4 linked regions of the Drosophila melanogaster genome follow. The protein of the gene in region 4 interacts with the protein of the main gene of each other region in a pairwise test. Each region holds a gene or a part of one and is shown on either strand. Other genes may lie near its edges.

The links.
Region 1: the proteins of CG4666 (region 4) and CG5532 interact in a two-hybrid assay, tested with the Drosophila melanogaster proteins (one large-scale study listed by BioGRID).
Region 2: the proteins of CG4666 (region 4) and CG1418 interact in a two-hybrid assay, tested with the Drosophila melanogaster proteins (one large-scale study listed by BioGRID).
Region 3: the proteins of CG4666 (region 4) and CG15449 interact in a two-hybrid assay, tested with the Drosophila melanogaster proteins (one large-scale study listed by BioGRID).

The regions. Positions count from the first base shown.
Region 1 is NT_033778.4:23,751,091-23,754,150, forward strand, and holds CG5532 (uncharacterized protein), read left to right. Parts: upstream 1-1,663; 5' UTR 1,664-1,739; coding exon 1,740-1,815; intron 1,816-1,874; coding exon 1,875-2,137; 3' UTR 2,138-2,425; downstream 2,426-3,060. Other genes in the region: CG12491 (uncharacterized protein), read left to right, coding at 1-68; CG11300 (uncharacterized protein), read left to right, coding at 859-1,332.
Region 2 is NT_033778.4:9,963,182-9,967,093, forward strand, and holds CG1418 (uncharacterized protein), read right to left. Parts: upstream 1,887-3,912; 5' UTR 1,536-1,886; coding exon 1,453-1,535; intron 1,401-1,452; coding exon 1,194-1,400; intron 1,141-1,193; coding exon 849-1,140; 3' UTR 654-848; downstream 1-653. Other genes in the region: Pal1 (Peptidyl-alpha-hydroxyglycine-alpha-amidating lyase 1), read left to right, coding at 17-186.
Region 3 is NC_004354.4:21,038,848-21,042,417, forward strand, and holds CG15449 (uncharacterized protein), read right to left. Parts: upstream 1,759-3,570; 5' UTR 1,592-1,758; coding exon 1,538-1,591; exon of another isoform or gene 1,313-1,537; coding exon 1,189-1,312; exon of another isoform or gene 1,168-1,188; intron 1,100-1,167; exon of another isoform or gene 1,087-1,099; coding exon 869-1,086; 3' UTR 667-868; downstream 1-666. Other genes in the region: Ntf-2 (nuclear transport factor-2), read left to right, coding at 1-12.
Region 4 is NC_004354.4:6,075,483-6,079,658, forward strand, and holds CG4666 (uncharacterized protein), read right to left. Parts: upstream 2,305-4,176; 5' UTR 1,855-2,304; intron 1,503-1,854; 5' UTR 1,470-1,502; coding exon 888-1,469; 3' UTR 590-887; downstream 1-589. Other genes in the region: CG4660 (uncharacterized protein), read right to left, coding at 3,592-4,002, 4,129-4,176.

The sequences.
Region 1 (3,060 bases), on a different chromosome or scaffold from region 4:
GCCGGGAGAGGCAGCAGGAAAGGCGCCAGCAGAGTCGTGCTGGAAGAAGGCGCCAACGTAGGGGATAAACCATCGGCTTAACCCGATCGAACAATGAAATGGTCCAAATTGAAAAATAAATGCATACACAAAAGCAACAATCGTAGTTATGACTTGGTAACTTGGCACCTTAAAAACAAGTGAAATCATTTGGATCGAATTGTTAGTCAAACAAAGAAATTCAATATTCGGTTTCATCTTGGAAAAGAAGAAGAAGGCTACACTATATACTCTAATGAAGAATCCTAAGTAAATCATTTTCCGATCTAGTTAGTTGATCAAGTGGAACTGGTCTAAGTGCAGACATAATTCCAGATGATAACTTAATCGATTAGGAACTTGCAAATGAAAGTGAAAAATAGGAGTTTGTTCTAAGTTTTCTTTTAGTGAGAATTCATTCTTTATGTACAATATGCCATCTTAATCTTTATTTAAGCTTAGAGGTTATTTAAATATGGCTTTCTGTTCAAAAGGCTTAACAATACATATTCATCTATTTAATAAACAATGTACCGTGTTTGCACACATGCTAACAATACGTTCAGCCAGCCAATCCAAAAAAAAACCGTTTTGTTTAATTACTAACGAATTAGAACTTTCCACAGCCATCAACAGCTTTCGCGCTTACAGAGAAGATAGTCTCGTCTTTTTATTGAGTTTAATCTATTTGTCTTGACGAGAACGTAAAATGTACTCTAAAACATTCAAAGCAAACACAGATTCGACAATTAAAGCGAATCAAGTGGATCATCCCTATAAATACTCGGATTTAAACCACTATCCACACAGTACTCCATTTAGTGACAAACTGAGCTGAAGATGCGTTGCCAATTCGTTATCGCCTTTGGGCTTTTGGCCCTAATAGCAACTGCCTACGCCGATTCTCCACCTGCGGCAGGATCCCCACCCGCGTCATCTCCACCGGCTGGAACCCCAACCTCGCCACCTCCAGCGACTGGAACACCGCCCTCACCATCCCCAGCGACTGGAACACCACCTTCAGCATCCCCAGCTGCTGGTACACCGACCTCGCCAACTCCAGCGACTGGAACACCGTCCTCGCCAGCTACTCCTGATGCGCCCGCTTCCTCGACATCACCAGCTACGCCCACATCGCCCAGTGACAGTGGATCCAGCAGCAGCCAGGAAGTGATTAGGCTCAGGCGTCGGCTGCGCCGGCTGAGGCGTCAGCTCCGCCGCGAGAGGCGTCAGGCCAACCAGAGTAATCAGAATGGAGGTGGTGGTCAGGGGCGAGTGGTTCGCCGTGTACACCGTCACCGTCGTCTATTGTAAAATTCACGAACATGTTGGCTACGAATTTGAAATAAAATTCCAGACAGAAATGCAATAAATCTAAAAAAAACATAAATGTATTGAATGGCTTTTTAAATTAGAGGAACCATCGCTCTTTTTGTAATGCATACATTAGTAAACTAACTTATATTTGCCCAACAAACTTTCTAAACATTGCAATGAATATTTCGAATAGAAGCGTTCTAAACATTGAAATAAATATTCTGATTAGGAAGTTCGTTGCACATATTTAATTCAAAATGACCGCGAAACGGTGCTGCCAGATGTCTGAATTTCGTGCACTGCGGAGCGGATCTTCTTTCTACTAAGGCAGGAAGGGTCATACTAACACCTCCACTTCTCACCAAAACAAAGGTTACCCCGAAATTTAATCAAAATAAATCGAAATGCCGGTGGATTGGTTCGGATATGTGTACGCAGCCACGGTCGCCGCCGGAGGAATCATGGGATACGCCAAGGCGGGTAAGTGACCAGCCCCCTGACCGTGGTCATGTCCGATTGTGCAACGCCCTGCATTCCAGGTTCCATTCCCTCGCTGGGTGCTGGTCTGGCCTTCGGAGCCCTGCTCGGCTATGGCGCCCACCTCAACTCCCAGGACACGCCTCGTCCCCTGCTCCAGTTGGGCACCTCCCTGTTCCTGGCCGGGCTGATGGGCGCCCGCTGGAACCGATCCGGAAAACTGATGCCCGCCGGAATGGTGTGCATGCTATCCGTGGCCGCCTTGGTCAAGAACCTGGCCACCTATAATCGCTACCTAATGCCCGCCGGCACAAAGGCCCCTTAGGCTAATTTCCGGCCACATGCTGGACTTGCCAGGAGATTGCCCTACCTTCATTCTTCATTCGTATTGAATAGGTTTTCTACTTTTCGGTGATTGGAACTTTGGTAATGCGCTGTGTCACTTTCTAAGATAGTGATTAGGAACTGTACTTGCTGCAAATATATTTTATCACCTATGCTTTTAACTTGTGGACTTCTTTGTACTCAATTGTAATACTTGGTCACATTTAATAGCATACTTTCAGGCACTTTGGTATGACAGTTCGCATAGAAGCACAGAAATACACCATTTCGTACATTCAAATCTTTTTTTGTATATTTATTGTTTAACTTAGCTTTTGTTTCTTTTGTGTGTGTGATAAATTTACAGTTTCATCTATTATACGATGTTCAGTTAACTACAACTAAAACTTAGCTATTACATTTTGTTGCTGCATGAAAAGAGCATTAGGCTAGGTAAACGTAGAGTGATGGATTTTTTTTTTTTTTTAGAATTTAGGCTTCTAACAAGTTTATTACAATAATGAAGTGAATAATTTGAGTTTTCTGCAGGCAAAGTGCGGCAAGGTAAGTATATTATCGATTCTCCACCTTTCTAGCATTTTCCCAACAGGAAACGATAAATATTTGTTAAGTAGAGTGTACAAATTATATATGTTTATCACATTGGAAAGTGGGATTATTATTAAATTTCCTTTCGATTGATTTGTGGCTCAAGAAATAATTTAGGTTGTCTGCCGAAAGTGCGTGCATGTGTAGATGAAGTTTTTACAGAATTATATGTACTATTTTACAAAATTGTTTGCATTTTGCATTAAATTAGATTACATAATATATGCGTGTACTGAACATAACAACATTGCTGGCTGCTGCGTTGCCCTCAGCAAACAGGCAATCATTTAAATTAGAATTAGCTGCGGCTAGAAC
Region 2 (3,912 bases), on a different chromosome or scaffold from region 4:
CCAACATATCCCACAGGTTGCCTGCCTTTCGGAGCACGCGGTCGTCGCCACGCGTGGGAGAAAAGCGATGGCTTCAAGCTGGGCGGACTTCTCGATCGGGATCGCAACGGATTCGAGAAGCTGGACCAGCAGGCCAGCGACGAGGAGCAGGAGACGAAGACACTGGCGAGTGCCCAGTACGCCTAGGCGAAGGACCAAGACTTACGCAGCTAACAAAGCATTCCTAGTTCTAACTACCTGTACCTCATTGAAATACCGACTTAGTTTTACGCGAGCTATGTATATGTGTGTACTTTAGGTAACTTTATTTACCTTCCTTGTGGTGCATATCGCAGAGAATTCCGATCGTGGTGTATTTCTAGTTGATTTATTGAGCCGTTTGTTCAATGTATTTTAAACAGCTTATTTATGGAAACTTCTTTTGGAGAACCGACTATGCGATTTTTTTCCGGTTACTTATATTTATTCTTTATTTAAAAGAATACATTTTTAAAACGCATGCCTCTAAAGAGCTCGAAAATATCTGAAATATTGTAAGTGCCACAGAGTCCAATGACTTGACCACATCCTTTAAATTAATTTTTTTTTTCGAATTAAATCGAAGTTCTCAGCGAATGCGCCTCATATATTGCGATTAATTTGCCAAAAAGAATATAGTCGTATGAATCTGTCATAGTGTGTATTTCGATTATTTAAAGTCTGCGGCTTAACTAGATTTCGTTATAAATAGGTGTACAACATATTGTGTCGACTTGCAAGGCCCCATAGTGGCGAATATGTTTAGCCCCTTTCCTCGTCCCTGGTTGCCACGATCCCAGAAGACCTAGGGTTTAGCTTCTGGCTGGCGGTCAGACAACCTGGGCGAGGAAACCCTCATTCTCCTCCGTTACAATAGCATCGATGTTGTAGAATATAGCATGCATAGCAATCACGAAGCATGAAGCACCCAGCGTCCAAAACAAAACCGCACCCGCGCCCACCAGGAATAGCACTGGTGCCGTCGCCAGATTGAGTGCGATGATCTGCTGGCTGGGCGTCAGTTGTTGTCCCACGATGGTAATGTTACTGTTGCGCACGCGCAGCTTATGGCAGCCAAAAGCGGAAGCCAGGATGACCAGCAGAATGCAGGGAGCCGTGATGCTTAAGATTATAACTATTAAATGGGGTGCAATAAGGTTTTTAGAATCACTTACAGGCAGTATATCATCAGTACAAAAAAGATGAAAACGTAGTTGGCCTGAAAATAGGAGAGATTCCGAATAACCCGGCTATTTAGCCGCTGCATGCTGATGGCCGTTTTGAAATTGTTGATGTTGAAGAAGACTACCCAGGGCCGCAGGGAGTTTCGGACCATTTGGAAGATCTGCAGCGGTGATGGCAGGTTGGATAGCGAGGGCAGGCTGCAGGGTTCAAGAGTAATTAGCTATTCGCTCCTTGTTACGGTTTACTCACCTTTGCATGTCCACGGAGAACCTGCCTCCGGAAGGCGGTGGCGGCTGCATGTTACCGGATAGGTTCCCGCCAGTGTGTGCCATTTTGCTTGTGCTTTCCCAACCTCGTCCTAACACTTATCTTAGATACACGTCTTCGCTGCAATCTACAATTCTTCTTTCGACAAGTGTGGGCGTTCCACAAGTGTTATGTGTATCTTTGGATTCGTTCCACTTGGTCCAAGAACTGTCTTGAGGATGCTGCGGCGTTTGTAAAGCGGCGAGGACTTTAGCGGGGTCACTTCTACATGGAGGCGGCAACACTTTCGATGTTGATTTTACGATTCACTCTTAATTTGCTATGACATCGTTTTCTTTTGAGAAACAGTATACAAAGTTTGAAAAATCTGATGTGGCAGATAGTTCTAGGATTGCCGTTGCCGTGACGTGCGGTGTGGCCAGAGTTGCGAGTGCGCAAATTCTCGAAATCAACTGAAAACAAATCCAAAGCGCTGAATGCAATCAAACATTTAATACAAAACTTTTTCTCTAAACATTTGAATTATTTTTTAATGATATTTTTACACAAAACAATTATATTTTTCTACCTATTACTCGTGTAGTAGATGGTTATACTAGATTCGTTTAAAAATGTATATATTTTTGATATCCTTGTCTATTAACTTGAACTATTAAAGCTAGAAAGTTAAGATTAGAAATTCAGTTTCTTTCTGATGATGCAACGCCACAATTTAAAAAAATGAATCGATTTTTTTTCATTTTATTACTTGTCTTGCCAATTTCTAGAGCTATGCCAAAAACCTTTTACCACGCCCATTTTAACACTGAAATCTGCTACGTCTTCACTTTTATGTGTAGACATTTTTTAATTTTACTATTTGTTATCAGTATGGCAAAAGATATGTTGGATGCGCCCAAACCAAACCAAACCCACACTTTTAAAAAGTTACTTGCCTATTTTTCATCTTATTATTTTTTTTTCCAATTTGTATAGATAAGCCAAAATGAATGTTGAACTTTTCCACCAGCTGAGTAATTGGTATCTGATAGTCGAGGAACTGGACTATATAGTTCTCTCTGCTTAAAAATGTTTTCATCACAGAATTACTTATTATTTCTTTTAACAAGGCCAAACAAAGCAAACATATTAAGCAATTCTTTTAATTTCCTTTTATATAAGTAGGCGTAACGAAAGAAATTTTAAGAGTCTGCGTTGCTTTACAAGTAACAGGTAAGAATCGCGCTGATATTTTAAATATTTTTTGAACAATTTATTTGACGGATAACACAACATCCATTAAATTTTTCTCAGGTCTTCTGGCTAATACATACATATCTTATATTTCTTGTATCTTGTATACACACTCAGGTTAAATGTTACATTTCTATTTACATTTACCAACAAAGAGTTTTAGAAGTTAAGAGAGTTTTCATTTGCATTACCATTATGAATATAGACTATATAATAAAAGTTCTAACTTAGATATATTTACAGATATGGATTTTTGACGTCATAACATATTGCTGGTGTGACACAAGTGATAAGTATTTTTTCACAGTTCCGGTATGAATCAGATTTTTGATTTTAACTTAAAAAAATTGTGTCTTGAAATATTCAGAATGGATTTATATTTGTTTACGGAGATGGAAATTGATTATCATCTTTTTGTTCAACGGTATTTTGGGATTGTGGAGAAAGTAAAAAATAAATCTCGTTCTAGTCACGCGGTATCAGGGTGATGGTGTCCTTCATTTCCAAAAAACCTGTGAATGTATTCGAGTGTTGCGACTGTTAGATACCTGTTACTCAGTTTATGAACCTGCAACATATGGATATGTAGAATTTGAATAATTTGGCGTGTAGCAAGGATATAGCTCTGATCAATCTATTACTACAGTTTTGATATGTTTAAAAGTAGTAGGATTTGAACGTTTCCTGGTATCCAGAAGACTTTTAGGATGTGAGCGTTTTAGGAGTTTAGGGCGTAACAGGGGCGTGGCACGGTTTTAAAGAAAACTTACATGCTTCCTTACTCTTAATGTTTCCGACATCTCGACATTCATACGGACGGACAGGCAGGCCATTATAATTAACCCAAGGAAAGTTGTGGATTGGACATCGTGCCATGAATCATTTTAGCAATCGAGATAAGCTTGAACTTTTAAGACCAACTGGCTTTTGAATTCAGTATTCGGTTAGGCTTTGACATTTCAAGATGGTCTCGATCCATTTTTATTTGGCACTTTTGCTTCAAGCGATTTCCTTGGCGAATTCTTTCCAATTTGGTAAATAGTGGCAACTACAATACAATATACATATCTACAATTTCATCGGATCAGTGTCAGTGTTAAATATATACTTTGGCAGCTCACGGATCTATTTTTGGTCTCAACAATAATTAATACCTTATAATTACAAAATTGGAACTTCATTGGGTTGATTTCGCTACACAAAACTATA
Region 3 (3,570 bases), about 15 Mb from region 4:
AACTCTGCCTAGGAGCACTCCACTTACCTACGTATGCACACCACTCAGCACCACACATAATCGACATCCAAAGATGCCCAGCGCCAGATGATAACAACAAGCTCGGCAGTGGAACTCAGAAAAAAAAAATATAACAAAGCCAGCCAGCGGTCTCACGATTATCAGCAAATACAAAAGTTAGAAAAAGAAAAAAAAAAAAAAAACAATAAAAAAATAAGAAAATAACGCTAACTACTATTACGATGTCAACAAAATGGGCCGCCAGCTCACCTTCATTTGTGTCCCATTGTTGCCGGTACTCTCGCTTTACGATCCACGGAACCCTAGAATTATATGTTCTGCGAACACCTGGATCTCGCGATCTAATTTAGCTAGGACTATCGAATTTGGTGGTATGTGCCGTGCTACAAGCTCGTATTTCGAATTCCCGTGAAATGAGCAGGAACAGCAGGCCGGGATCATCGCCTACATAAGTTTAGAGTGATTTTCTAGACCGTTTATATTTCCAATTGAATTATTTGTACTTTAATTATGAGGATTATTTTAGATAGCCGTATTGCAAATGTATTGTGTCGAGTGTCTCGCTCTGTAAACAATTACTTGAGTACCGGGACTGCACCACACACAGTCGCAAGTATCGACTCTTGCTTTCTCATATGACTAATTGAGCGATGGCGAATTACTTTTTATTGAGAGAAAAAAAAAACACTTAAATATAAAGATAAACGTTAACAGTTTGGTTGTTTGTATGATTGGCGGAATGGCCAGTTGAACCGGAAAGATATGTATACCCTTATAAGCTATTAAATGCATACGAAAGAAGCTCCAGCGGATCTGGCCAGTGGTTTCCGTCTAAAAACTGAACGATTCACTTGTCGCGAAATGTGAACACCGCATCGAATCCGAATAGCACCCCATTGACGATGGACAGCGAGGCCTTGATGAGCGCGAGATCCCGAGTTCGGGTGCGGAAGGAGAACTCCCAGGCCTCAATGATGAACACACCGCTGGCCACGAACAAGGTGCAGCCCAGGACGCTGAAGAATATATCGATGCGCTTGTGAATGGGTGCCCGCATCAGAACGCCTGCAATTGCAAGGTATCTTAAGTAGATTTGTGTGCAAATTTCGTTTTTGGTTAACTTATTTTAGTATTTTAACTCTTAAGGACTGGCATTCCAAGGCGTACCTGCAAAGACCCCGATGACCACTATGATGTAGCCCGTGAAGGTGCCAGTGGCCAGGAACGAAGTCATTATATCGCGATCGTTGAAGCTGTAGAAGTGGAGCACCAGACACGCTACCGCAAAACCCTGGAAAAGTGAGGGGATTTTCATTTGTGGTGCTTCTTGGTGTTCTTATAATTTCCGAGTCTATCTGGTATTTCGGGTCTTTTCTTTTAATTCCCAAGTCGTTTTTTTTTTTTTTTTTTTTTTTTTTGACAAACCATTGTTTAGTAAGCATACGCGTTGCTTTTTGCATTAATTCATTAATCCTTAGAACTTGCAGTAAAATCACTTGAAAAAAAAATCCTTTACCAGTTCGAGAAACTTGACCACATTGAGGCGGCCTTTTCGCTCGCCATGAGACATTTTGTGAAACTGCTGCCGCTGACAGTCCTCGAAAATGTGGTCCAGCTTGAAAATGTACGTGTCGCAACTCAAGAAAGTTCCAAAGTTCTTCCGATTGGCCTCTTTGGAGCGTGCTCGCGACGGCAGAGCGCTGGACAAACTGATTCTGATTCGGAAATGGATGACGGATGGCAGGCAAATGCGGCTGCAGTTTGCAGTTGGGCGCAGTCGGGCCCAGCCAGCGAAATTAATTAATTACACTTAGGAAATAGGCTTTTCATTCTTGTTCCCATCCCTGTGTATCCGCCCACGTCCACCACGTCCGCCGGGCCTCTCGGTTCCATCTCTGAAGTGGAGACCGTCTGCGTTCTCCGCTGCCAGCTGCACTCGAGCCCCATCCCTTCCAGCTTGATTGAGTGGAGCATAATGTCTGTATCTGCATGCATGCTCTGTGCCGGTGGGTGGCCAGTGGACAGTGGGCAGCCGCCCAATGGACTCGGACTCATTGTGCTCGCATTGCCATTACCCCAAATTTGCTGCCTAACCTTCGGGGCCCAAGATCGGAGCTAATTCGCGGAATCGGGGCCAACGGGTCGCCAATTTTCCGATGGTAATCAAGTGGATAATGGAAAACATATCGCCGGGGAAATCACTTCCTCAAATCATGAATAATCTTATGGACTTCATGGGAATTATTAGGTTGTAAGGTTGTGTTGCAACGCTTTTCAGATATAAAAGTGGATTTGTAATGCATGGAATATATTTTTTAATATATTACAAGTACTGTACTTTTTAAGTGCAATTAAAAGCTTAGAGCAACATAAAAAGTAAGCCGAATTTTATATACCCTTCACCTATAGTAACTTAGCTACCACTAGCTTGGACGACTACAGTCGTCCTGTTTTAATAAAATGTATTTTATTTCTATTTATTTTTCCTGTATTTTTTACGAACGTTAAACTGCAAATCCCATTCCGCTCGCTCCTAGTTCAGCTAAATTATATAGTTTATATAAAATTAGATTAGTAATTACATTTCCGACCCGGCCTGTTATTGCCTTATCTAATACCTGCAATAGGTTTAATAGTTTAAGTAAATACGATTACGTGGAAATAAACAGACACGGTAAGATTTAGTTGGGTGTCAATTCTGACTAAAAATATATATCTAAGTAATATATACTTTGTTCCTGACTAAAACAATAACACTTCCTGTGTTCTATGGTCAATTTGAAAACATGCAAAATAAGTTGTTACAGCTGAACAAATCTATTTTTAATTTTTAAATTAGTTCTCTATAGAGTGTTTATGCCACATGTTGAACCTATTTATCTTAACTTAACATCAACTGCTTTATTAATTTCAAAACCTAACCATTAAAATAAATATATGTTTTTAGAATAATTTCGGCTGGTAGCAAGCAGAAGTACATATACGATTATTTATTATCAAAAGCCCAGCTTATCAGTTTGAAGGCAACTTTTGATATGATTCAACGCAGACACAGGTGCGCATTGAAACTATATTTAGACCTTCTTATCGCTTCAATGTTTTGATTAATCCGTATTTTCTGTTTCAATTTTGAAAATGCATTTTTCAAGACCTTACTACCAGAACGAAATCCAATTGAGCTTTGGCAAGCTTTTTGTTTCAGCAATTTTACGGTAATTAGCAGCAATTCCCATGCTATTGTAGTTCTATTAAAAGTTAATCGCCAGCACTTTACAGTGACAGCAAAACTAGTTATACTAGTTGCGAACTATGATCGAAAATGATACCCCACCGAGCTACATGGTTACAAGACTAAGAATTTTTCAGGTACAACTTTCACTGAAATATAGAACTCCGAAAATAATGCATTGTAAGAGAATACAAGAAAAATTATTCAGCATGTTGATAAATTCAAATTAAATAGAAGAAAACATTTTCCGAACTACCTAATCTATATAATCAATCATAAAACCCGAAACAAAATCGGAATTTAAAGAACAAGATTCACTC
Region 4 (4,176 bases):
TATGGTAATTATTATAAAGTATGATAATAGTTATCTGCAGATGGAAAAGCATAGGACAACAATTGGTTCAATGAACCTCCGTTAAGTGGGCAGTAAAATAATCAGCCCTTTTTGCAAAGAAAAACAAAAAAACCAAATAAAACACTTTTTTTTTGTGTTTTAACCATAATAACGAAAATAATAATCCATATATATTATGCAAATATATTGGATACCAATTTTTCTCCCTTGCACACATTATTTATGCTTATTTGTGTGTAATATTTGCAAACTTCTGAGGTTAACAGTTCCAAAGCAGTTTCGTTTCAAATTACATAACCAAAATGCAGTCTTCATAATTAACTGTTCCATAATGAAGACAGCGAAAAAGAAAATATAGAAAACAAGACAATCCATTGACTTATCGACACAGACTTGGCGTTGCGTGATATCAAACTTAGCATAAATGAAAGTCGTGAAAGAAACTCCAACGACTCCCGTCCACGCAAAACGCGTTTTTAGGAAATATATGTGATAAAACGATCAAACTGCGAAAGATGTAAAATTGTATGTTCAATCTAAAATTATTTAAACATTTACAATACTTTTTGGTTTGTAAAAAATTATATTTAAAATCTTCAGCCATTCCATTAATGCAATATTCCTATAACTAAGGCACAGTGAAAAAATAATAGCAAATAAAGTCTTTAAGTTGCTATGGGCCATTGTTTAGATTCATGACTTGTGTACATTTTGTTACGCTCTTTTTTGTGTGAAAAACCCACCAGTCTAGAATTACTTCACTATGCACTCAAAAAAAAAAAATAGAAGATGACTACGAATCTAAGTAAATGAGGCAAACATATGTAAATGAGCTGTGCTGCGGGAGATGGAATCAATCAATCGATTCACTTGTCCTTTCGCAGCTTCTGGCTGGACAGCTCGATGGCATCCAGCCAGAGCTTGAGCTCCTCCGGCTTCTCCGGTCGCTGGGCAGTTTCCGGATAGGTCTTCAGTACCTCCAGCACATTGCAGTTGGTGATGTTCTGCTTGGACATGGCCACCGCGCGTACAAATCCGTCCGAAAGGGTAATAAACTGCTGCTCCAGGTAAATGGCCTTGTCGTCCCACCAGATCAGCTTGGTCTGAATCTTGTACGGATGGAAGATGGGTATGGTGCGGCGGTAGCGAACACTGCTGGCTCCCTGGACGGCACCGCCGCGTCGGTCCCGGATGCGCTCATAGAGTCCAGTGAGGGCGTAGAAATGGAAGCGGGCAAAGTCCAGTTCGCGCAGATAGCGGGCGTTGTTCATGTGCCGGATAAAGATGTCCACGTCCTGCGAGGTGCACAGTCCATAGATCGTCGTGGTGTCCGTGACCTTGCGCTTCCGCTGGAACAGCCGGCCGGCGAACACCGTGAACACGCAGCGGATGAAGTAGTTGACATCCCAGATTACGTACAGGATCAGCAAAACAACCAGCCAAGACATCGCGATATCTGGTTGTGTGTGTCTGGATTCCCACTGAAAAGATGAGGGGCGAAAACCCGTTAGTGGCAGCGAAAGTTGTTACTACATGGAAAGAAATTAGGGTCAACCTGATAACTATTAAATTTAACTAAAATATTATTAGATTTAAATTGGTAGATGGGAAAAGAAAAGAAGTAGCTAGTAATAGAGACCCATTTGTATATATTTTATGTGTTATTATATTTAAAAACAAAAATGTAATAAGAAAATCCAAAGATATGTCCGTGATTTCTCTATGTGCATCAGACTTTGGCGCTGATTTACCGGATCGCCAAAGTCCGTCGCCGTGAAAGTCAATTGTATTGGTTGACCCCTTCGCAAAGTATCTGGATATACATATACTTACATTTGCAGTCGGTCGTTAAGCTCGGCCAAACACACCACCAACTGGGTTCGATCGGTAAGAGCGGGGAGGGGCGGTACGGTGCGGTAAAAGCGGGCGGAGCGGTACGCAGCAACACAACCGTTGGGTAAGCAAGGCCAACGTCGACTGAAGACCAGAGATTGTAGACTGCAGACTGTAGAGTGAAGACTGCCGATTGGCAAGAGCGAAGACGACGCAATGCCGAAGCAAAAGAAAGCAATCAGTCGAAAGTTAGACAACGCCAGCTGTGATGGCAATTAAATAATTACTTATGTTTTAAGCTAAGTTAATTGAGCAAACGAATAAATAAAATCAAAACGCATTTTAAAAACAATATACGTGGTTCTACTTCTCCACTACACACGAGAGGAACTTCTTGTTGATTTTGTCTATATATTTGTGGTATTCGAAAACTTGATGTTTGTTAAAGCTAGAAAAAATCTCCTTAAACAACACTGAACGCAAGCGGTGAAAAAGCGACTATGCAATAATAAGAAAAAAAGGCTGATAACTTGGCAATTTTCGAGTTAAATATAGTAGCATTAAACTGAAAAGTACCATTTACAAACTAAGATATCACTTTTGAACCCCATAGAACAGTTTTAACGAGGCATATACTAAATTTGTTGTCTATTAATACGTTTTACAAGCAGAACTTTAAAGTAAACACTATAATTAACTAGTACAAATAATTCAGCTTGTTACTTCTGTAATACGGATTTATACTGCTGGTGACCCAAGGATTGATGTCACTTTTCGACAGTTATTGCGACCTAACCGCAAAAGAGCGTAGTAGCTAAGTTAAATAGGTATTTTAGCTACTTTTCTCAAATAGTTATGGTCAACACTGGAATGACCCCCTTTGTATGTCCCCACTTCGCCCACTTTCGCTTGTTTTTCCCCGTATTTCTTGGCTCACCTGTACAGATAATTCCATCTTACCTAAGCAATCGATTGATTTCGATTCCAACGACCGTTCGCCGATGTGTGGGAATCTCTGGTGTGGCGTAATAGGCAAATTCACAGGTAAACGCTTAAAGCTATAGCTACTCTCCGATCGGTGTAAACACTAGCCATCGAACTGCGATCACCTGGCATTTTTTAGACGGCAAATTACCCGAATATACAAAATCTAAAAGGGCTACTGCTGAAAGTTCAAGAGGGGGTATACTCACTAGTCCTAAGCAGGTGATTTTGTATCTAAACACAATATTTACCAATGGGTTTTAGCACGGCTTAATCGTGAATGTAAACAAGATTACCCATAAGCCGTGCACCAATTGCTTAATTGGTAGCAAAGTGTAGCCTGCCTTTAGGCGCCAAAGCCCAAGAATATATACATAGCTCATCATTATTCACATTAGGTTTGTTCATTTACTAAACAATCATTGTACATCATAGCTTACACACTGTGGACTACCAAGGAGTTTTGTTTGTATTTCTAGTTCATTATTCGGGGGGGCGTGTCTGATCTCTGGGTAATTATACAATACATTAGTTAAGGCCAAAAGAGGGCGGGCTTTTCTTATTTGTTTTACAGACCCTTACATAGCTTACAATACAAACATTTCACGTGCACACTTAGACATTAAACATTAGCACACTTTAGCACGCACACTCACACACACAAGCACGCGAGACAAGAAAAAAAAAACATGTAATAATGGGCGTTTCCGTTTCCGGTTGCGCATCCGCTTCCGGCGACTCCAACGATTCCAGTCAGCAGCCACTGCGTAGATTCTTGCTCGACATATCGTTGTACTCGATCCACTTGGCCAACTCCGGCGGCAGCGAGGGCTTCAGCTTCAAGCAGTGCGCCGCGGTCGCGCTGGCCGTGGCACCCGTGCCCGCCGCTCCACCGCTCGTCGTCCCATGTCCGTTCTCCGCCAGCGAAGTGTCCATCGCGGGATTGCTTATGCCACCAGCTGCCGGCGACGGAGCAGCCAGCGAGGTCAGCACCGTCGCCCGGAATCCGTTGGAGGAGGTCCTGGGCAGTAGCTCCGACATCACCGCCTCCATGGACACGTCGATCACCCGCTGCCGGCAGATGGCGATGCAGTGCACGAACTTGTCCGATGGACGCACAAAGCGGTGCTCCATGAAGAGTGACTGCTCGTCCCAGTAAATAATCTGAAAGGAAATAGGCGTTTAGAAATGCGATACCTTAAGTATATTTTTCTTATATATTTTTATATTGCTTTTGAACAAATAAATCTTAGTATGAATTGGGTTTTTTTTTATGGTTTGTATACTTACCCGCGAAATAATGTTAAAGCGGTGAAAGGGGCGGATGAAGCGACGGTA